Linked DNA regions of Schizosaccharomyces pombe. The protein of the gene in region 1 purifies or fractionates together with the protein of each later gene. This does not show direct contact. Each region holds a gene or a part of one and is shown on either strand. Other genes may lie near its edges. The genes, in order: cid14, nog2, dbp2 and nog1.

The links.
Region 2: the proteins of cid14 (region 1) and nog2 purify together in Schizosaccharomyces pombe (affinity purification with western blotting; 2 studies listed by BioGRID, with this or other methods). This does not show direct contact.
Region 3: the proteins of cid14 (region 1) and dbp2 purify together in Schizosaccharomyces pombe (affinity purification with western blotting; 2 studies listed by BioGRID, with this or other methods). This does not show direct contact.
Region 4: the proteins of cid14 (region 1) and nog1 purify together in Schizosaccharomyces pombe (affinity purification with western blotting; 2 studies listed by BioGRID, with this or other methods). This does not show direct contact.

The regions. Positions count from the first base shown.
Region 1 is NC_003424.3:319,514-325,304, reverse strand, and holds cid14 (TRAMP complex poly(A) polymerase subunit Cid14), read right to left. Parts: upstream 3,501-5,791; 5' UTR 3,382-3,500; coding exon 1,327-3,381; 3' UTR 1,176-1,326; downstream 1-1,175. Other genes in the region: gms2 (NST UDP-galactose transporter), read left to right, coding at 25-80, 139-843, 898-1,111; mRNA cleavage and polyadenylation specificity factor complex, WD repeat protein Pfs2, read right to left, coding at 3,802-5,331. UniProt on the Schizosaccharomyces pombe protein: Required for 3' polyadenylation of the 5.8S and 25S rRNAs as a prelude to their degradation in the exosome. Involved in the nucleolar organization to ensure faithful chromosome segregation during mitosis.
Region 2 is NC_003424.3:2,732,974-2,738,267, reverse strand, and holds nog2 (ribosome export GTPase), read left to right. Parts: upstream 1-2,059; 5' UTR 2,060-2,141; coding exon 2,142-2,936; exon of another isoform or gene 2,937-3,340; coding exon 3,341-4,159; 3' UTR 4,160-4,237; downstream 4,238-5,294. Other genes in the region: SPOM_SPAC6F6.04C (transporter), read left to right, coding at 123-1,592; F-box protein Pof5, read left to right, coding at 4,698-5,294. UniProt on the Schizosaccharomyces pombe protein: GTPase that associates with pre-60S ribosomal subunits in the nucleolus and is required for their nuclear export and maturation.
Region 3 is NC_003423.3:3,661,269-3,667,202, reverse strand, and holds dbp2 (ATP-dependent RNA helicase Dbp2), read left to right. Parts: upstream 1-1,844; 5' UTR 1,845-1,901; coding exon 1,902-1,969; exon of another isoform or gene 1,970-2,065; coding exon 2,066-3,297; exon of another isoform or gene 3,298-3,996; coding exon 3,997-4,349; 3' UTR 4,350-4,468; downstream 4,469-5,934. Other genes in the region: phosphomethylpyrimidine kinase Thi20, read left to right, coding at 1-1,335; mpe1 (RBBP6 family ubiquitin-protein ligase E3), read left to right, coding at 5,582-5,934. UniProt on the Schizosaccharomyces pombe protein: ATP-dependent RNA helicase involved nonsense-mediated mRNA decay and ribosome biogenesis through rRNA processing.
Region 4 is NC_003423.3:1,235,885-1,241,580, reverse strand, and holds nog1 (GTP-binding protein Nog1), read left to right. Parts: upstream 1-2,372; 5' UTR 2,373-2,404; coding exon 2,405-2,425; intron 2,426-2,480; coding exon 2,481-2,576; intron 2,577-2,665; coding exon 2,666-2,760; exon of another isoform or gene 2,761-2,980; coding exon 2,981-4,697; 3' UTR 4,698-4,910; downstream 4,911-5,696. Other genes in the region: nit1 (nitrilase superfamily protein), read right to left, coding at 347-483, 541-556, 617-1,051, 1,102-1,197, 1,250-1,396; RNA polymerase I transcription factor subunit Rrn11, read left to right, coding at 5,214-5,570, 5,685-5,696.

The DNA.
Region 1 (5,791 bases):
TTTGATACTCTCGACATTTACAAAATGCTTTTGCCAATTATTATGCTTACTTCCGGTGTAGCTAACACCGTCTTGTCGAAGTCAGTAGCTATTTTATTTATCCAATAGTATTGTTTGCTAACAAATCATCTCAAATAGATATCAAGACAGTATAGCAGAAGAAAGTGAACCCATCAAGAGTATGGCAGTTCTTCAAAGCCTCAACATTTTTCTTGGGGAAGCATGTTTATGGTTTTATGTGTTGTATAAACGCCACTCACAAGGTCCTGGCTACGAATCTCTTGACCACCTACCTTTAAAGCACAAAGTTTTCATGGCTCTTCCAGCAATCATGGATATATGTGGTTCAACATTGATGAATGTTGGCCTTCTTTATACTAGTGCCAGCATTTATCAAATGACTAGGGGTTCGCTTATTATTTTCGTTGCCTTGTTCGCTACGACTTTACTAAAAAGAACAATCGGTCAATTGCAATGGCTCTCACTGAGTTTCGTAGTTTTAGGAGTTGCAATTGTTGGTTATTCTGGATCCTCTTCTTCTATTGGTTCAAATCCCATTTTAGGAATTACTGCAGTTTTAATCGGCCAGTTTTTTTTAGCAACACAATTCACAATTGAAGAATACATACTCTCGTTTATTCAAGTCGACCCTTCAGAATTAGTTGCTTATGAAGGTACTTATGGCGTATTTTTTGTCCTTTTAGGAATGATTATTTCTTACTATTTTATCGGTTCTACTACTGCTGGATACCACGGGTGGTTTGACTATTCACACGTTATATCTCGATTTAATGAAGTCCCTGCACTCTATGTTATTTCTGGAGTTATTTTGGTATCTATTGCGTAAGTTCATGTTAAAAAATTGACCATTCGTATTTACTAACGTTCCAACCTTAGTTTTTTCAACGTTTCCGGCTTAGCCATTACAAAACTTCACTCAGCTACTACCCGATCTCTTTTAGATATTGCTCGAACATTCGGAATTTGGATTATTGCTATGGCAATGGGGATGGAGTCATTCCATTTACTTCAATTCTTGGGATTCGTGCTTCTTATTTATGGCATATTTACTTACCATTCTATCATCAAATTTCCTCTCGCCGAATCGTAATTTCTTAACTAGTTTCATCGTTTATGCAAAATTACTACAGATCCATAGTGAGTTTAAGGTGTTGATTAATTTATTACTGGTATTCGAGTTTACTGGCTAAATCGTAAGTATAATCTATAAAGATAATTTATTAATACAATTATCAAACTATAATCATAATTGATAATAAAACCTTTTATCCCTCTATATAACCTGGTATTTTACATGTAAATTAACTAAAAACGTTTGCGTATTTTTTTCGCTCGAGATTCTTCATCTGAAGCAGTGGTGTCCTCAATAATAGGTACTTCGTCTTCCGAATCGTCACTGCTTATGTTAAATAATTTACTGGGATTAGCTCGAGAATTAGAGGAGGACTGCTCTCCCGTAGATGTCAAAGCTTGCTTCTGAAAATTTTCATGGCCGTTGGTTTCAATTGATTCATTTACTTTAAACAAATCATCCTTTGCAGCATCTGTTTCGTCTGAATCGGATTCATCCTCAACATATTGCAAACCAACGTCTTGCAATGGAAGCTTGTCGACATCAATACTTGCTAAAGCATCCACTTCCACTAAAGGTTCTAAAGGAACTGGATTATTCTTATAACATTTTAACATATGCTCACGATGTTGACGAACCCCTTCATCAACTGATAATATGGTACTTAGGATACTAGGGAAATCTTTGACTCGATTGACACCCTCTCTTTCTATACGAGATGCGAGTGCGTATAATTTACTAGTTAGCAAATCAAAGCCATTTGCAAATGTAGCCTTTACGCGTAATAATCCACGACTAGATTTAGAAACATCATTTTGGAAATCTACCGGATCTTGGATTGAAAGCAAATAAGGCTGGTTTGGCTTCAGCCAACCCATCTTCTTTTTTGAAAAATAAAAACCACCATTGTGAACAGCGATACCGACAGCATCATAATAAAATTGTTTTCCGTACAACTCCAAAAACTCTAGCAGCAAAACACCAAAATTGTCTTCTTCACGCATAGAACCTGTACTAAGTCTAGGGTGTAATTGAAGAAAAGAAACAACCAAACAAACAATCGCATAGCTACTTAATCCGCCCAAGAAGACTTCGTTTAGCGCTCGCATGTTCAAAAAATGTTTAATAATTATTACTAACGGCCTAAGAGCAGGGTATTTTTTCATGAAACCGTTCACTACCAGACATGTCTTCAAACCTCCAGGTTGATTAAAAGATATGTCAACATGAACTTTGGTTAACGGATCAACGAACTTGATGATTGGAACGTTAGCAGTAGTAATGACCTGGACTTCAGAAGCAAGTTTTAGCTTCTTTAGATGATGAGCAAGAACAAACATATCTTTTTTTGTACCCCGATAATGATGCTCAGGTGATATTATTACAAGATCAAGGTCTGAAGTAGGTAAATATAATTTGGTTTCAAAACTTCCAAAAACATAAAGTGATACATCTGGCCATTTTTGCAAGACAGCTTGATTTATACGAGAAACAAGCGTCTTCCGAACCGCATGCTCTTCAGGAGTCGGAGTAATATAGTCAATAAAGTGAAGAATGTCTTGGTGAAAAATTCTAGAGACTTCTCGCTCTACCTTATACTGACGGTGCCAAGGGCATGATTGAGAATCAAGCTCATACGCTTGGCGTTTTCGTTTACGGTTAGAATCCGATTTTTCATTTGCTTCATGAAAAAATCGGCCTCGTTGACGCATAAAGCCAGGGATCTCATTTTTAGAAGACTTTTTTAAGGACTCATTATTCTTGCTTTTATCATTACTAACACTATCCTCGTCTTCATCGCTGTTCCAATCGAACTTGATAAAATCAGAATTATTTTCGACAGCCTTGTCGTGTACAGGGTTAGTTTTTCTACCTTCTCTTTTTGGTATACCTAAAAGAATGGTAGGTTCACCACGTTTTATTGCTTCCTCTGGTAAATCAGGTTTTTCCAGCGGCTCTAATGGATCGGCTTTTCCAAATTGAATATATGGATCGTTTTTGTTTGAAATTTCTACTCCACCTTTATCACGTATTCCTTCTGAATCATTATCATTACGTGATTTTTTACTTCCAATTTCAACCATGGGTTCTTCTTGATCCAGAAGCGTAAAATTGTTATTCAGAAGCATTTCGTCATAAGCGTCTGAATTTTTATCCTTTTCCTTTCTTTTAGATTTAAATTTACTCGGTTTATCGTTTTTAAAAATCCTCCTTGGAAGTGGTTCAGTTCTCTCATTTTTACGCTTTTTATAATTATTGCGGTTAAATGACACGCTTTTTTTACCCATCTCTAAGACATGGATAGAATGGTTTTCTATACCTATCTTGTAGAATTCTTATAAAAATCAATATATGACTAATTGAACCACAATTATTAATCACATAAGATCTTTGAAAATTTGGTGGTGAACAACTTACTAAATGTAGCATACCTAACTATTAACGATTTATTTACGAAAATCGTTGACACTCGGTAATTCAATTTGGGGAACATCTTGTATGGAGAGCGAGATATAGAAGTGCTTGTCGAGTATGAATGGTATAATGTAAATTGTTGCTTAGTTATCATTAAAAAAAAAATTAGTGTAGGTTTTGCTTTGCCAAACCCAATTTTTAGTATGAATCCAGTGAGCTGCGGTGTGAATTTTTTTTTTTTTAAATCTAATTAATGCCAAGTAAATATGTTTTTCAAATAACAAAGAAATGTATTATCGATAGTTTTGAGGATACCCATCTTGTGACTTTGAGGTGAGACCTGGGATAAAAGAGTTTTGAGTTGACGGCTCAGCGTATGAATTGCTCAAAGATGCATGAAGCATACCGGGAATTTGAGGTTGTCCATGTTGATAAGGCGATGGAAAGGAGGGCATAGTCCCTAAACCCGGAAGATTAAGTACTCCAGAAAATTGGGGATTATGGGCATTTGCTAATGTTTCGGTGAGAGGGTTTTCGTCAGGTTCATAATTATCGTCTTCTTCGATCGCTGCTTTTCTCTGACTTAGCATGGCCTCAGACTGTTCTTCACCTAAATGATGGCGATCCATGGTGGATTCCTTGTCATCTGGGCGAGATCTTGACCAAAAACGTGTAGTTTTATCATTTGAACCTGTACATAAAAGATGTCCAAGAGGATGATATTGCATACTCCAAATACCCAAATCATGAGCAAATGGAATTTCAGCAGTAGGGTATAGTAAATAAGAAGACGCGGAAAGAGTAACATTTGGATGCTTTTCATGATACTTTTGCTGAGAAAGTAATGGAGGTTCATCAAGTGAATAATGATTGACACTTCCATCGGAGCCACCAGTAGTAAGCAAATTAGGATAAAGAGGATGCCATGTTACGCAGTTTACGTCCTTTTCATGACCACGTAAAACTCGAACGTCCTTCATGGCACGTAAGTCAAATACTCGACAAGTGCTATCCCTAGAGACTGTAGCCAAATAATTTGATCCAAAATTTTTCTGAAAAGATGCTTGCATTATTGTGTTTTTATGACCATGCAAAGTCGCAATACATGTACCGGTTCTTGGATCCCAAAATTTCACTAAATTGTCTTTAGAACCAGAAGCCAAGAGACCTTTTGAAGGATGCCAATCGACGGTTTTTACATCCCATCCATGACCAGTTAGTTTCAGCTCTTCAGTACTCATATGGAAATTCCATACTTTTAATGAACCATCATCACTCGCTGTGACAAATTTGCTATCATTGGGTGAAAAGGCAACATCTCTAACTTCCATTTCATGAGCTTGAACAATTTTGACATTGTTTAAATTCGGTTCAAAATACTTTACCATGCCTCCTCCATCGCCGGAAATAAGCCAGCGCCCATCTGTACTCCATTCAGCACAACGAACGGCATAATCATGACTCTGATTAATTAACTCAAAATTAAATGTGAGACCATTCCACAGAGTAAATTCACCAGTTGAAGAACCTGTCAACAGTCTTCGACCATCTGGAGTCCAGCGCACAACGTTAATAACATGTCTAGCTTTATTTGCAGACGTATGAATATATTTGGTGCACAAGGAAGATGTGTTATTATACTTGTATTCATAAGGGGGATACAAGTTAATTATTTGATTCGGATTTGGTCTCGGTACATGTATGTGATAGCGATTGCTACGCAAATGTCGATTGACAATATACTTTGATAGCCCTGATCCATAGTCCACAGTCCTACGAGTCATAGGCTTTTGAATAATTCTAGCATTTTCAGCTCTTTCCATGATGAATTAACCAATTCCCCAAAGATGTGAAATTCCTTATTTAGCAGCAATAAAATCAATCTTTAATTTAAATAAAACCAACTTAAAGTTCCTTCTAATGTAGTATAAACTTTACCGTTTTTCGTATGGTATTCTAATATATAGATATTTGGCGCGTTTTACGTGCTGGGAAAATGAGCTAGTATGACTTTGGCCAAAGGTATGGATACGCAATCGTATCTTTTGACATGATATTTGGAACGATTGTGCTTGTAAAATACATTGAAAAAAATTTTATTAATTTAGTTCAAAGACTTCTTTTATTTAGTATAAGTAAATCGGTGGGATGTTGAAGATGATATTAATTTCGTTCCAAATTAGGCACGCCAAATAAATTAATCCACCTAGATCAAGTGTTCATAGTAAACATACAGTAATGATATCTTTGATCATCTATCCATGCTTGATTAGACAGTTAAAG
Region 2 (5,294 bases), 2.4 Mb from region 1:
CAATAAATATGATAGACGAGATACTTTTTAGCTATTTAACTCGGCGAAGTTGCAGGGTTAAAGCGTGATTTTAGTCCAACGTTGCTTTAACCGTGTGTGCTTGTCCCTCGCTTTACTAAAAAATGGTTGCTCTAGTCAATAATATGCGGAAAATTACAATACCTTCAGTGGGAGGGAAGCTTGTCTCTTCAGGCCAATTTCAAAATTTCATTGCTTCTTGCATCTTGTTTTGCTGCCCTGGTATCTATTTAGCAGTAACTGGGTTAGGTGCAGGTGGTGGCCATCCTGATGCATATCATATGGCTGATGTTACGAACTCACTCTTGTATGCTTTGTTTACCGTTTGCGGTTGGGCGGGAGGACCGATTCTTAAGTACCTGGGTCCTCGCTGGGCACTTGCCTTGGGCGCTACAGGTTATCCTATATACATTGGCGGACTATGGTATTTTGATAACACTGGAAAGCAAGGATTCACCATTTTTACTGGTGCCTATGAAGGCATTGCTGCTGGATTATTATGGGCATCAACAGCATACATTAGCTTATCTTACTCTTGTGCAAATCAAAAATCCCAATTCATTGCTACTCAATGGACGATCTTGGCTTTTGGTAGTACAGTGGGCTCGTTTATAGCTTTTGGTATTAATTATCACTCAACGAGCACTGGCGTACCTATGGCAGTCTACATCATCTTCATAATCATTATGGCTTGTGCCGTTTTATTAGCCATTCTCTTTATAAAAAGCCCATCTGATGTACGAAAATCAGATGGGACGTCTGCACTTTCTCCCAGTAATAAGACGTTCGGTCAAGAACTTTGGGGATTGTTTGAAGCAGCAAAGGATTGGAGACTACTTTGTCTGCTTCCTGCATCCTTTGCTTCACAAAGTACAATTGCATGGCAGTCGCACTTAAACTCCTACTATTTCTCCCTTCGTACTCGGTCTCTAAACAATGTGTTATTTTGGGTGATTCAATTTTTCGTCCCTTACTTGTTCACTTTAATTTTAGATGCAAAAGCATTAAAAAGAAGGACACGTGGTATTATTGGATTAACTATTCAAGCTGTGGTAATCATGGCTACTCTTTCTGGTGAATTGGGTTGGATTGTTTCTAAGCACATTGATTTACACGATACATCCCCTGATCTTGACTGGACTCAACGAGGTTACGGAGGTGCTCTGGTTCTATATTTACTAATGGGTATTCAATATGGTTCTTCCATTGTCTCTGTACAGTGGTGTATCTCACTTCTCTCTAGTGATCCCGACAAGTATGCACGTTACGCTGGACTGTACAAAGGAACCCAAGCAGCCGGAATGTGTGTTTCTTTTGGTATAGACGCAGCTGGAGTCTCATTTCTTGGACAAGGAATTATATATTTTATTTTTTTATTCGTGATGTGTGCATCTCAACTCATAATGACTTCGATATTCGGTAAGGAAACCGATAGATTATCAACGAAAGAACACTTCACTGATGATAAATCATACATCGATGGAGTCATGCCTTCAACTGATACGTACATGAATGAGAAAACTTCCGATGAGCTGGACAAGAAGTCGCTGCCAAGCGACCAGGTCTACGTTTAAAGATTTTATTTTTTAAGAATTATTAAATCATTTTATCCTTTTCATAAAATTTCACTGATATCTTGATGCTTATCATATTGTGTTCAAATCCTCTTAATTTAGAAGTATGGTATATTCAATGAATTCTGTGACTTAAAAGTTTTTAATTTTGGTTATTTGAGAACATACTTTTTTCATTGCTTTCTTTAAGTTTTATTGATCAAAATGTCAATAATACATACATTTCACCATCTGTAAGACATTTGTTTTGGCGTTTTTAGACTAAAGTTATAGTACATTTTCCATTCCAAGTGAAAAACCATATAGGATTTTTCTTTGAGATTAAAGAAACAATATCCAAAGTTTTCCTTTATTAACTTAGGAATTTAGCTACATTTTACTAACAAATGTGAATAGTAAACAAATGTTACCCAGCATATGTTACCTGTGCTTATGACTTGAAAATTTCGCTTTCTTACTTACACTCTACCTATCACCAACCGCATCAATTTGGCGTGGTTGTTAGGGCCTTGTTTTTGTTCTTTTTCTTTTTTGGAGTAATCAAAAAAAATGGGCACCTATAAGAAAGAGAAAAGCAGAATCGGACGTGAAGGTGCTAATGAGAAGAAGCCTGGCAACCTTCGTGTCAAAGGTGAAAATTTTTACCGAAATGCCAAGGATGTTGCTCGAGTTAACATGTATCGAGGAGGCAAGGCGAAATATAACGCTGCTGGTGAATTAGTCCGTGCTGCTGAATTTCAGTCTAGCGAGGTTCCTAAAGCTCGAATTCAGCCTGATCGACGATGGTTCAACAATACCAGAGTTATTGCTCAACCAACTCTCACCCAATTTCGAGAGGCTATGGGTCAAAAGTTAAACGATCCTTATCAAGTTTTATTACGAAGGAACAAACTTCCTATGTCTCTCCTACAAGAGAACACTGAAATTCCAAAAGTTCGTGTTTTAGAGTCAGAGCCTTTTGAAAACACTTTTGGCCCTAAATCTCAAAGAAAACGCCCCAAGATCTCATTCGATTCTGTGGCTGAATTGGCTAAAGAGTCTGACGAAAAACAGAACGCTTACGAAGAGAAAATTGAAGAGCGTATATTGGCTAATCCCGATGAGTCTGATGATGTTATGCTTGCTGCTCGTGATGCGATTTTTAGCAAAGGACAATCTAAACGTATTTGGAATGAGCTTTACAAAGTTATTGATTCTAGCGATGTTTTAATCCAAGTGCTTGATGCGCGTGATCCTGTAGGTACTCGTTGTGGAACCGTAGAGCGCTATTTAAGGAACGAAGCTTCTCATAAGCATATGATTTTGGTTTTGAACAAAGTTGATCTTGTTCCTACCTCTGTTGCTGTAAGTCATTTTTGTTTTTAAAATCTATTTGCATTGTTTTTGATACATGGAAAGATCAAGCTATATGCATCTGTTATGCATTAGTTCTATTTAATTGCTGGAATAGTATTCAGTATGCCCATTGTTAAGTCAAGACTCTTTTGTATGCTTTTCAGCATATTTCCCGTCAATTGAAGTCTGTTACAACTCTGGGAGAGTATACAAACTGTCTCTAAATTATATAGCCGTTCTGGCTATATCAGAGATAGTTGTATTGTCTTTGCTTTAATTTCGGTGTTTCAAGCAGTATATCGCTGCATATAGTTGTCACACTTACAAATGTAAAGACTTACATTGTTTTCATGTATCAACGAACAACCAGATATATCTTTATTAACCAATGTTCTTTTTTCTAACTTTTTTAGGCCGCCTGGGTTAAAATATTGGCTAAAGAGTACCCAACCATTGCTTTCCATGCATCTATAAATAATTCCTTTGGTAAAGGGTCCCTTATTCAGATTCTTCGTCAATTTGCGTCTTTACATTCTGACAAAAAACAAATTTCTGTTGGGTTAATTGGTTTTCCGAATGCCGGAAAATCAAGCATCATCAATACTTTAAGGAAGAAAAAAGTTTGTAATGTTGCTCCCATTCCTGGAGAAACGAAAGTTTGGCAATATGTTGCACTCATGAAACGAATTTTTTTAATCGACTGTCCTGGTATAGTCCCACCCAGTTCCAACGACTCTGATGCAGAGCTTTTATTGAAAGGTGTAGTCCGAGTTGAAAACGTGAGTAATCCAGAAGCATATATTCCTACTGTACTCAGTCGTTGTAAAGTGAAGCATCTTGAGAGAACATATGAAATATCTGGTTGGAATGATTCGACTGAATTTCTTGCTAAACTTGCGAAGAAGGGAGGCCGTTTGCTCAAAGGAGGTGAACCTGATGAAGCTTCGGTTGCTAAAATGGTATTGAATGATTTTATGCGCGGTAAAATCCCTTGGTTTATTGGACCTAAAGGCCTTTCCTCATCAAACGATGAAATCAATTCTTCGCAAAAAGTCGCTACTCAGCAAACTGAAGGTTCTGATCAGGATGGAGAAGAAGCAGAAGAAGAATGGCATGGAATTTCTGATGATGGTAAAGCTGATGAGTCTGAAAGTACTAAACCAGTAGCCGAGGGAAGTGCTTCTGAGTCTACAGATGAAAGTGCTGTTGATGATAATAAGAATAGGAGTTAATTGGGGGGTTTGGTTTAATTTATCATTTTTATGGTTGGTCTTTGTATATTAATAATAATATTGGTTTACTAAATATAATGTGATATGTATAAGAGTTGCTATTGTTCTATAGAATTCTACCTGATGTATTGTAAACGGTTTGTTAGATACAATACTTTTGCAAATTGTTCATCAATATCTTGCGTCAAATCTTTTTTTTTAATTTAAGCGTGGTACTGATTCTGCTTGTTCTTCTCACATGAAGTGTTACCATTTACCACCATTTTATGTATCGAGCAATGCAAATTACTAGTCATATAAGGTTATTTGGCAGTTACCGTTTAAATTATTTGTAAGTTTAGATATTTAAAAAAAAAAAAATTGTTTGAAGATACCAAGTTATCACTCAATTATTTGGCGTCGAAGACTGAGGTTTTGCTACTGCCTAACACCATTGTCAGTACATTAGGACAAGGTTATTGCCAAAATTTTAATCGAAAGCTTATACACTTAAATTAACTTTTGGGAGTAATGATATCTAGTTTGGCCTTACCGAAAGATGCAGTCGTTTCCTCCTGAAATATGGCATCACATATTCGATCATTTAATAAGTTTTGACAAGTTTGAAGCAAAAAATTTTGGGGGCTTGCTAAGGATTTGTCGTTCATCATATGTTGGAGGCCTACATGCTATTTATTATTTTCCAAAGCTTAATCCCCGTAATTATCATAAGTTTGTTGACACGATTAGCCGTAAACCTACAAGAAAATTAGTGCATCACATTAGTTTAAACAATGTTTCATATGCATCAAAAGCTTCTATAACATCCCGTCTATTGAGAAGGTGCGCTACGAATTTAGAAACATTTTCAGGTCCGCAGTCAGGACTTGGTTTTACGGCCTTAAGAGCATTCTCTCAATGCCAAAAATTAAAAAAGATAGACCTGTCTATCCTTTCTGAAAAAATTGATTTACAATATCTATTTGGGGGTATTCAGCATCTCAAGCATCTTGAGTATATCATATTACCCTATCTTTCAATTCCTGCTCCTATGTGTACTGAATGCTGGCCAAGCTCTCTTACCTTTGTGGGCTTTTCTGGTGGCCTTACTGATGACTTTTTGGCTGAGTCTGTTTTTCCCCCATCTTTAAAAAGT
Region 3 (5,934 bases), on another chromosome or scaffold:
ATAAGTGCTTGCCTGTTAGATGTTCACTGTGAAGTCATGAAGACTGGAATGCTGTTCAATCAGCAAATTTTAAAAGTTATTGTTGAATCAATAGATAGGTTTAAAATCAAAAAAGTCGTTGTTGATCCCCTTATTGCGACCCGGAAGGGTGCTTTACTAGTCATGCCCGACTACTTAGAACTATTTGTTAAAGAGCTTATTCCGCGAGCAGAAGTGCTTATTCCAAACATAGCAGAAGCCTTAATAATACTGAAGCATATGACTAACGAATTCGTTGAAATTCATCATTTAGAGGACGTTAAAGCCGTGGGTAAAAAGTTAATAAAGGCAGGTTGTAAAAATGTGGTTATACGTTGCGACGATATACCGTTCGCATCTGATTTTTTTTGCTCACGCGAAACAAATATGCCTCCTACTTGGTATTTATATGTCCTTTGTACTAGTGAGGGTGAAGTGTTGCTTCCTCAAAAATGGCTTGCCTCCAAAACGGCTCGTGGCACCAGCTGTGCATTATCTTCAGCAGTAGCTTCCAATCTTGCAATTGGGTTAGACCTTGTAACTGCAACACAGAACGCAGTATCCTACACTCAGCGAGCATTAGAAATGAGCTTTCATCTGGGTCGTGGTGCCAATTCCTTGGATTATGCTTCTGCCTTGACGCGACTTCCTTATGAAAAGGGAGAATTCATCAACTTTGTTCGCTATCATCCTTCTATAACCCCTAAATGGCTAAGCATTGTTAACCATCCATTCGTTGAGCAGTTAAAAGCTGGTACACTTTCTCGTTTGCCTTTCCAAAAGTATTTGGTTCTAAAATATCATATGTTAATTAATAATGCTCAAGCAGCAGGAATGATGGCTTTTTCGTCATCTAGTATTTCTGCTATCGAACACAGTGCTAAAATTATTCAGGCTATTAAGGAAGAAAATGTGACTCATCTTAGAATTTGCGAGCAATACGGTTTATCTGCAAGTCAAATAACAAAGAGCAAACCAGAAATTGTTAAGTCTCATTCTTTGTTCATACACGATACTGCTCAACAGGATGGGCTGCGAGGAATCCAAATTGCTATGCTTCCTTTTGTATTTATGATTCAAGAAGTTGTTTCTCAAATCTCCGCTTCAGATGGTTATCCTTATGTTGCTTGGGTTGAACACTGCAAAGACAAATCAGCTACTTCTCATATTGAGACTCTTTTGGAAAGTTTAGAGACTAATTCTCAAATTATATCTCTTTCCAAAGTACAGCATTTACTTGGCATTTTGGAAAAAAGTTTGGATTTTGAGCGGCTAGTCTTGGACACATCTTCGAGTAACGAATCATCTGTGTTTTAATTGACGCCGTTCTACCTTGCAAAAAAAAAATAATTGAAAATCAATATTTAGGACTTTTGGTTTTTTTTCTATCCATAGAATTGATTGTTTTTAGCTCTTTAGAATAAAGTTTGAACATTTTTATTAGCCTTTGTAATATATGTTTGTATATAGATTATATAAGTAAATAAATAACTTCGTGTTAATTTTCATTTATTTATTTCCTTTTTTTTTTTTAAATTTGTTTTATTTAATGCGACAGTATCAACTATCAAACAACGATTGTTATTGAAGCTTATGAAAATAGTGTTGGATTACCTTAACAGTTAGCCGGGCAGCACTTCTTACTCTTGAGATAGTAATATTATAAAATATCCAAAAATCTCATTTCAAAAACATAAAATAATATTTTACATTTTTTTAAATTATTCGGAGTATATTTTCTTGAAGTTAATTGCTACTATTATCTGACTGAAAATTTTTATTTTGCAATCTACTATATAAGGCGCCTTACCGCCTGTTAATTAAGCAAACCGTTTACCATAAACCACCACATCTCTTCAGTTTTATAGTAAAAAGAAATCATAATGTCTTACAGAGATAACGAATATAGTGGAAATTACAATGGAAAAGAGGATGGCTATAACAGCAGAGGGTAAGAATTCACAATTGGGCGTGCCCCTGTTCAGTACAAAATTATTGATACTGATTTACCTTTTTTTTTAAAATAATTAATATTAACATTTTACAGTCGTTATGGTGGCGGATACCGCAATAACTATAGTCGTGGCGGCGGTCGTGGAGGTTTCAATGATGGCGCTTCTTATGGCTACGATCAACGAGGACAAGGAAGAAATTTTTACGAGTCAGATGGTCCCGGTGCTAATTTGGTAAAGAAGGATTGGAAAAATGAAACTTTGATTCCGTTTCAAAAAGATTTTTATAAAGAACATGAAAATGTTCGCAATCGTTCAGACGCTGAAGTCACCGAATACCGTAAAGAAAAAGAAATTGTCGTGCATGGATTAAATGTTCCTAAACCTGTTACGACATTTGAAGAGGCTGGTTTTCCTAACTATGTACTAAAGGAAGTCAAACAATTGGGGTTCGAAGCTCCTACTCCTATCCAACAACAAGCATGGCCGATGGCTATGTCTGGTAGAGATATGGTAGGCATTTCAGCTACGGGTTCTGGTAAGACACTTTCTTATTGTCTTCCTGCTATCGTACATATTAATGCCCAACCACTACTTTCTCCAGGCGATGGTCCAATTGTACTCGTTCTTGCTCCAACGCGTGAATTAGCTGTCCAAATTCAGCAAGAATGTACTAAATTTGGCAAATCATCCCGAATTCGCAACACATGTGTGTATGGTGGTGTCCCTCGTGGTCCACAAATTCGTGACCTAATTCGCGGTGTCGAAATTTGCATTGCAACACCTGGTCGTTTATTGGATATGTTAGACTCTAACAAAACCAACTTACGTCGTGTGACCTATTTAGTGCTGGATGAAGCCGACCGAATGCTTGATATGGGTTTTGAACCTCAAATTAGAAAGATTGTTGATCAAATTCGACCAGACCGTCAAACTGTCATGTTTTCTGCAACATGGCCAAAAGAAGTTCAACGTCTTGCTCGTGACTATTTGAATGACTACATTCAAGTAACTGTCGGCTCTTTGGATTTGGCAGCTTCTCATAACATTAAGCAAATCGTAGAAGTTGTTGACAATGCTGATAAAAGAGCTCGTCTTGGAAAGGATATCGAAGAGGTTTTGAAGGATAGGGATAACAAAGTTCTTATTTTTACAGGCACAAAACGTGTTGCTGATGACATTACTCGCTTCCTTAGGCAAGATGGTTGGCCTGCCCTTGCCATTCATGGTGATAAAGCTCAAGACGAGCGTGACTGGGTACTCAATGAGTTCCGTACTGGCAAGTCTCCGATTATGGTTGCTACTGATGTTGCTTCTAGAGGAATAGGTAAGTTTTTATTTAACAGTTTTTTCCTTTTCGCAGGCTTTTTTATTTGACGTTATACTTTCACCGGCGTTCTCAATGTCTCTTTTGATAATAAAAGATGGACTGGCGATCAACACCATTTTAGCTTGAATTTTGCAAGTTTGTGTTGCTTTGATGAATATTTTTGTTTACGCCCAGTCTTAAGGAAAGTAGAAAATTCGGATGATTGTTTAGCCTGTTTCTTACAGGCACGAATGGTGTTACAAAGAGAAACTGATGATTTCTATTTCATGATCTTGGCCTTTTCAATAGTAGTCGAGATACGTGTGGTCTGCTACCTGTTAAATTTGTTGTCAACGTTTCCGCGATCTATGTAACCATTTGATTTGCGGTCAATTTAAAAGGTTTTTAAACGCTTATTCTATTCAGCCTTCAAACCAACTTGACTCATTGTTTACTTTTAGACCACATTAAATGATTTAAAACATAGTTTTTCTGTACTGTTTCCTCCTTTTCTTTACTTTCTTTTGTCTTTTGTCTTTCTTTCATTGTGAACTTATTGCTGTTCGGTACCATTGCTAAAATGTTTATGCAGTGTTGTTGACCTAACTTGTCAAATTTAAAGAAGCTTAAAGTTGTTGATATATTGGATAAATCCATGAAACATATATCTCGAAGCTTAAAGTCAAAACCCTCTTGGGCATTACTAACTTTTTATAGATGTTAAGGGTATTACACATGTCTTTAACTATGATTTCCCTGGAAATACGGAAGACTACGTTCATAGAATTGGACGTACTGGTCGTGCTGGAGCTAAAGGTACCGCATATACCTATTTCACTTCGGATAATGCTAAGCAAGCTCGTGAACTTGTTTCCATTCTCTCTGAAGCCAAGCAGGACATTGATCCTAAGCTTGAGGAAATGGCCCGCTATTCAAGCGGTGGTCGTGGTGGTAACTACCGCCGTGGCGGCTATGGTCGTGGTGGTTTCCGTCGTGGAGGAGGTTATGGAAACCGTAATAGGGGTTTTACCGGAAGTAATTCTGCCCCCCTTGCGCGTTCACGTTGGTGATCAACAATCCGCGTATTTTGAAATATAAGTAAAATTAGATTAATCGGTTGGATATATAAGGTAATTTTGAGGTTTACAAGGGTTAATAAAAATATGATTTTATTTAATTTACCGGCTTAGTTAAATTTTGAAGTAGTTTTTTCTGTTCAGTAACCGCTTTCGTAGATTTGTGAAATCTAACGTAGTTATAACGGTAGCAATCAATTATATTAAAAAAGTACTGAAAATTAAACAGGTGTTTTGAGTGTGTATATTGGCTAAGCTGACATTTACGATGGCTTTATTAATTGTGTGGCGCTTGACAACTTTGGATAACGCATTTTAAAGAAGCATATTGCATTATGTTGAAGTGCATTAGCATGACATATATGTTTGATGTGTGAGCAAATTCTCTTCTTCTACCAACCATCTAATCGGAATTTGATCTAACGACTGATCGATTTGTTTGACCAAAGACATAAATAGCTAAAGCATTTGAGTATTCAGTCTTTCCGACTAAGTTTTAATACAAGATTTATTTATATTGGGTGACTTAAAAGAAATAAAAAAGTTTTTTTTTTCATTATCATAAGAATTAAGAGCGAAGAGGCTTGAAAGTCCTGTACATTGAGTTGTTTAAATTCAAAACTCTAATAAAAGAATAAGCTGAAAAAAATAGCCCTACTAAATAACAGCTTTTGATTAGAAAGGTTTTTGTTGAATATTCTCGTTCTAATTAATAAGCAATTTTTATAATAAAAAGTTTAGCAGCCAACGTTCGTACTTCAGGGTAGGAACCTTTCTATATTTGCAAGTGCTAATTGCATTCCCTGTCTTTCCCTTATTACCGAAAGATCCGCGAGCTTTGCAGAGGTGGTTGGCTTTTGTAGTTTGTTCCCGAGTAGAACACCTTGGTGATTTCGATTCCTCTCTTTGAGTACGTTGACGACAAAGCACTCCTCTAATTATAAATATCCATTCAAAATTACCTATTTGCCGTTCCGTTGAAGTAAGTATCTGGACGAGTAAGCAAGAATAGCTTCCTTTGAATTTTTGAAACCTCTGTTAACCAAATAATTTTAGTTTTTTTTTTTTTTTTTTAAAACATTTATCTCATAGTTTTACAACTAACGACTCTTTTATTTCTTTTTTTTTGTTGGACTCTTTAGACGTTCGTTCTATTCAAAAAACCTGTTCGTGTTTCTTAAAAAGTGAAATTAAGTCATTTCTGATAGTCAATTACTATTTTTTCGATGTCTGGTGTAATTTATTACAAGTTCAAGTCTCAAAAGGATCCGTCAAGGATTACTTTCGATGGAACCATTGGAATGTCTGTTTTTGACGTTAAAAGAGAAATCATTATGCAGAAAAAGCTAGGAAATGGATTAGATTTTGATTTGTTGCTTTATAATGCTAATTCTAATGAAGAGTATGATGATGACACTTTTATAATTCCTCGTTCTACTTCTGTCATTGTCCGTCGAGTACCTGCACAAAAATCCGGAAAAGGAACTGCTGCTCGCTATGTCAGTGGCGCTCCTAAGACAACCGGTGCTCGATCTGATTCTGTCAAACGACCTGTCCCAATGCTTCAGAAAAAGGCACC
Region 4 (5,696 bases), on another chromosome or scaffold:
TGTAAGAAGTCTATTTCTTTTTATTTTTTTTAATTTTTCTTCTTTTTGTCTGTGTATTGCACTTTTCCTATATGATGCCTAATCGTTATACATATATAAATTATGCATTAATTAATAAAATAAGTACTTACTTTTTGCATTCCACTTCGATTCTATTATGTTTACTATATCGAGCGCTCAGTAATTTACGGTTTTATGGAATTATTTAATTGTCGCAAATTTATTTTCATAGTATTCAGGCTTTAATCTTGCAAATCCGTAAGTAATAATGAATACTTCGTAAACAAGCCGAAAAAAAATTTTCTCTTTAATTTAAATTGAAATCACCTCAGTTTGTATAACAGTGCTAAATGGTCGGGTATAAATCGTTTCTACGTAATAGTGGAATATAAGTTCGTACATGGTCAACAAGATTCAAATCAAGGTCAGCAAAAATGAGGCCATTCGGAGAAGAGATATCACTGTATTGAGCAATAACAGTACCTAGATGCATTAGAATTTCAAGTTATTTTACCTAATAAAATTGTCAAAATGACATACCCCAAGGGTCAACAATCTAAAAATTTTAATTAGCAAGAATTCTTAAACAGACAGGTGAAACTTGAAGACGACATACCATGGAATGACCATAACTAGCACGCTTCTCGTTATGCTTTCCACCTTGCGCAGGAGCTATAACATAACACTGAGAGTCCAAAGCGCGAGCTCTCAACAGCACTTCCCAATGAGCAGCTCCGGTCTTTTCAGTAAAAGCACTAGGGTATGTGATAATGTGAGCACCCATGTTTCTAAGCTTTATAGCTTGTTCTGGGAAGCGGATGTCAAAACAAATTGCAGAACCAACTTTGCCTAGAGGGGTTTTACAAGGTGGGAGAATAGCTTCACCACGAAGTGTAGTATTCGACTCTTTTAAAGTTGGTCCATTTTTAATTTCAACATCAAAAAGATGAGCTTTGCTGTAACGGCTAATGATTTCACCATGAAGAGGCTCGATAAACAGGCTACTGTTTAGTAGCTTGTTTTTAACCTTAGATGGTTCGTGCACGCATATCTATAAAGACAAGTTTGTTACTATCAAAGTAGTTAAACATTAGTACGTACGTTTACGAAGATTGAATGTTTGGTAGCTGACTCTCGAACGTCCCGAATAAACTTGCTACAGTCAGGATGATTTGTAAGTTCAATAGCCTCATCACTCTGTATGTCAGAGATATTAGTAAAGTTGGTAAAGTATGCAAAAGTGTCGTACATTATGAGCTATAAAGTCAGAAGCCTCAGGGAAGAATATGCATTTCGCACCTTTGGCGGCTGCTTGACTTATCAATTCTTTACATATGGCTAAGTTTTTTAGAATAGAACCACTTGAGTTAAGCTGAGCTACTGCTGCCAATGTCATGATGGTACAAAAATGGATGAATGGGACCCTGCGTTTACAAGGTTTAGTTTGTCGTTGAGTAAAGCTGGCATTGCAATACAAGATGTATTATACTGTCAAAATGATAGGATTTTTGTTAAATAGAGCGAAAGTCGCAAATTTGTGAAAAGTAATGTCTAAAGGAAATTTAAAAAAATGATAAATTATGCTTTATGTAACTATACGATATGTTGATTTAGGCATCAATATGAAGGATGGGCATACAGTATGTTCAATTGAACTATTTCGCTCTCCTAAGAAAGATTCTTTAAGTCATTAACTAAATACTAGAACCAAAGAAAATAGATGCTAACTTTTTCAAATAAAATGCGAACAAAATTATTAAATACATGGAGCCTATCAACAAGTAGGGTATCTTCGAAATTTCCTTTAAAGCTAATAGAATCAAGAAAATGAAAGTGCTATAACATAAGTTCTGCTAATCTACATACATCTACTTCAGTCAACATTCTGTTGTTCAAATCAATCTATGCATTTTATTCTTCGTATTTGCAGTGTAGGAATGTAAATCGTTTTGTTCACAACATGATTTTAAGAAAGTGAAAAAAGTTTAAGTAGCATTCTAATAAATACTGATTTCTTGGATTTTGTTTTATGAAATTTTGCTATCACTTTTCATCCATTCGGACACCAGATCAAACTACCCAATATTCTTGAAAAGAAAATTAAGATTATAATAACGGGATTTTTGAAGTATGAAATGTAGATTAAAACATTGAATAAAATTTGTCACAAACCGTAGATATTCGATTCATAATGCCTGCCTATAAACTTGCTTTGTTTACCTTCTATTGCGTTTCTTTGCGTTATACGATTTATCAATGTCAAACAAAAATTCGTTAACAGAAGGTGACTGTTCTACCTATACGATTCGAACCTTCGTCCATTATCAATGCTAGCTGGATAACTACTGCGTGAACGGTGAAAAATTGTCTTTGACATTTGCCATCTACCAAACTTTTCTACTCCATGGCAACGGCAGTGTTCAAGGTATTTTAATTTCTAAAATTGAAAGTTTGTATCATTCTTATTAACATTGATGCAGAATATTACTCCAATTCCGGATGTGAACACGTTCTTGGACGTGGTCCTTTCTCGGACTCAAAGAAAAACACCTACCGTTATTCGATCAGGGTTTAAGGTATGTAAACATTTTCAGTTCAATTATCGTATTAGAGTGGTTGCATTGGAATTCTAGATTTGCGAATCATCTACTAACGAAAATATTAGATCTCTCGTATTAGAGGTTTTTATGGACGAAAAGTAAAATTTACTCAAGATACAATTACTGAAAAGCTGGATTCGATTTTACAGGAATTCCCTAAGTAAGTATTTGCCAAAGAAATGGATGCCTGCAGTCACTGTTAAAGAATGAGAAATGATGCTTTAACGTGTTTGGTGTGAATTCTTATGTGCACAGTATTCTTAACACTGTGTTACTCCTATTGATTTTTTAAGTGTTTAATTGTGTTGGAATTCTCAGCAGCATCGTGAATCTTTCCTTATTTCCATATCACTATCTATGGTTCACTAACAATTTCTTAGACTTAACGATATTCATCCTTTTCATGCTGACCTTTTGAACATTCTTTACGATCGCGATCACCTTAAAATCGCTCTTTCACAGCTCTCGACAGCCAAACATTTAGTAGAAAATGTCGCTCGTGATTATATCCGTTTGCTCAAGTATGGTGATAGCTTATACCGCTGCAAACAGCTCAAGCGTGCCGCTTTGGGACGCATGGCAACGATCATTAAAAGGCAAAAGTCATCCCTCGAATTTCTTGAGCAAGTCAGACAGCACTTGTCTCGTTTGCCAGCAATTGATCCAAATACACGAACCTTATTGGTTTGCGGCTATCCCAACGTTGGTAAATCCTCATTCATGAACAAGGTTACTCGTGCTCAAGTTGATGTTCAGCCTTATGCTTTTACCACTAAATCTCTATTTGTCGGTCATTTTGATTATAAATATTTGAGATGGCAAGTGATTGATACTCCTGGTATTCTGGACCACCCTTTAGAGCAAATGAACACCATTGAAATGCAATCTATTACTGCAATGGCTCATCTTCGATCTGCGGTTTTATATTTCATGGATCTCTCGGAAATGTGCGGTTACAGTGTTGCTGCACAGGTTAAATTATATCATAGCATTAAACCCCTTTTTGCCAACAAGGTTACTATTTTGGTTCTCAACAAGATTGACGCCATGAGGCCTGAGGATTTGGATCAAAAAAATCAAGAGCTTCTTCAAACCATCATTGACGACGGTAATGTTAAGGTGGTTCAAACTAGCTGTGTTCAAGATATCGGTGTTATGGATGTACGTACTACCGCTTGTGAAGCCCTTTTGGCTGCTCGTGTCGAACAAAAACTTAAGGGCTCAAGGGTTAACAATGTTCTTAATCGCATTCATCTTGCTGAGCCTGCTGCTCGTGATGAGGTTGCACGACCAGCTTGCATTCCTGATTCTGTTAAAACTCGCCGTGCATATGATGCAAATGATCCAAATCGCCGTATACTTGCTCGTGATATTGAAGCTGCAAACGGAGGTGCTGGTGTCTATAATGTTGAATTGCGTGACAAGTATATTCTTCAAGACCCTAGCTGGAAATATGACCGTATGCCTGAATTATTGGACGGTAAGAATGTGGCTGATTTCGTTGATCCTGAAATTGAAGCGAAGTTATTAGCCTTGGACGAAGAAGAAGAACGTCTTGAGCGTGAAGGATATTATGATTCTGACCAAGAAATTGAGGATGCCGATGAGGAAGAGGTTCTTGAAAAAGCAAGTAGAATTCGTGAGAAAAACAAGCTGACTATGTTGGCTGCTCGCCAGAAGAAAATTAAAAATCGTCCTGTACTTCCCCGTACCGCTGGCATTCGTACTTTAGACGAACTACAATCTTCCTTACAATCTGCTGGGCTTCCCTCAGATTCTATTGAAGAGCGGGCACGCTCCCGTGCACGTACTGCAGCAGCAAACGAAATGGCTGATGGTTCAGGTGTTGACTTGTTAATGAATGAAGGTGAAGAAATTCGCTCTAAATCTATTGCCCCACGTTCACAAAGCAACCGTCGCGAATCTGGTGTTCACGCAGAAGGTGCCAGATCTTACGCTGATCGCCTGGCTCGTGTCAAACAGATACACCGTAACCGCATGGCCAGGGCTTCTGAAAGTGATCGACATGTTATTGCTGCCAAGCCTAAACATTTGCTTAGCGGTAAACGTGGTAACGGTAAAACTCAAAGAAGGTAGAATAATGGTTTTGGACTTGGGGTTCTTTTTTTATATAAAACTTTAATATTTGGTTGGTTATTTGGGTTTGGATAATATGGGTGGACTTGCAAGACTTTCTACCTACATCCCTTTTTGTTTCTTCACATAAATTACTTTTGTTGGAGGATGTTGTCCATTAGGAAAGAAATTTAATATATTTCAAAGCTTTTGCTTAATGTACTTTCAGTTGACAATTGAAGCAGTTAATTATGTAGCCGTGCATAACAACACCTGTAGTTTTTGGCTGTAAATTTTATGCTGAGTAAATAGATGAAAGTAAAAAGAATGAGTAATTAAAATCTAAAGTTAATCAATAGCTAAGGTTGATCGTTGTTGAACAGAGAGGCAACTGTCGTGCTCAAGTGCTAACTGCTTTAAGATGCCAAAAACCATACCCTTGCAATTAGCAAAATAATGCTAGATTAAAAGGTTATAGTTAGATCAACTATGCTTTGTTTAAATAAGTAATACTTATAGCTTGATTCTGTTATAATCATGTTCTCTCCTTGTACCGTTAAAGAAAAACGTTCAACTTTGCGAAGTGTCGCTCCCAACCCGGAATCTTCTGTTATACCTCCAATTCCTTTACCATCAAGAAGGTATAAAACAAGACATATTGATGCACTTTGTTCGTTGATGCACCTTTGCTTATTGCGCAAAGATTACCCAAGGGCATCTAGGGCTTTTTCATTACTGTTGAGATCTAAGAGTGTTGACATTTCCAAATTATGGAACATTGGACTTGAAATTTTGAACAAAGTTAATCCAGAAGCTTCATCAGAGTATATGGAGCGACTAATAGCTCGATATCCTGCGCGTCCATCCATTAACAACTCTTATCCGAATCGTAATGTAAGTGTATACTGGTACAAAACGTCTATACTTTCATCTTTTCGTGTATTGAATTTTTTGTCCCTTCTTATTTGAAATCAATCATATGTCGCAATTCTATACTAACATTTACAGGCAGAACATTTT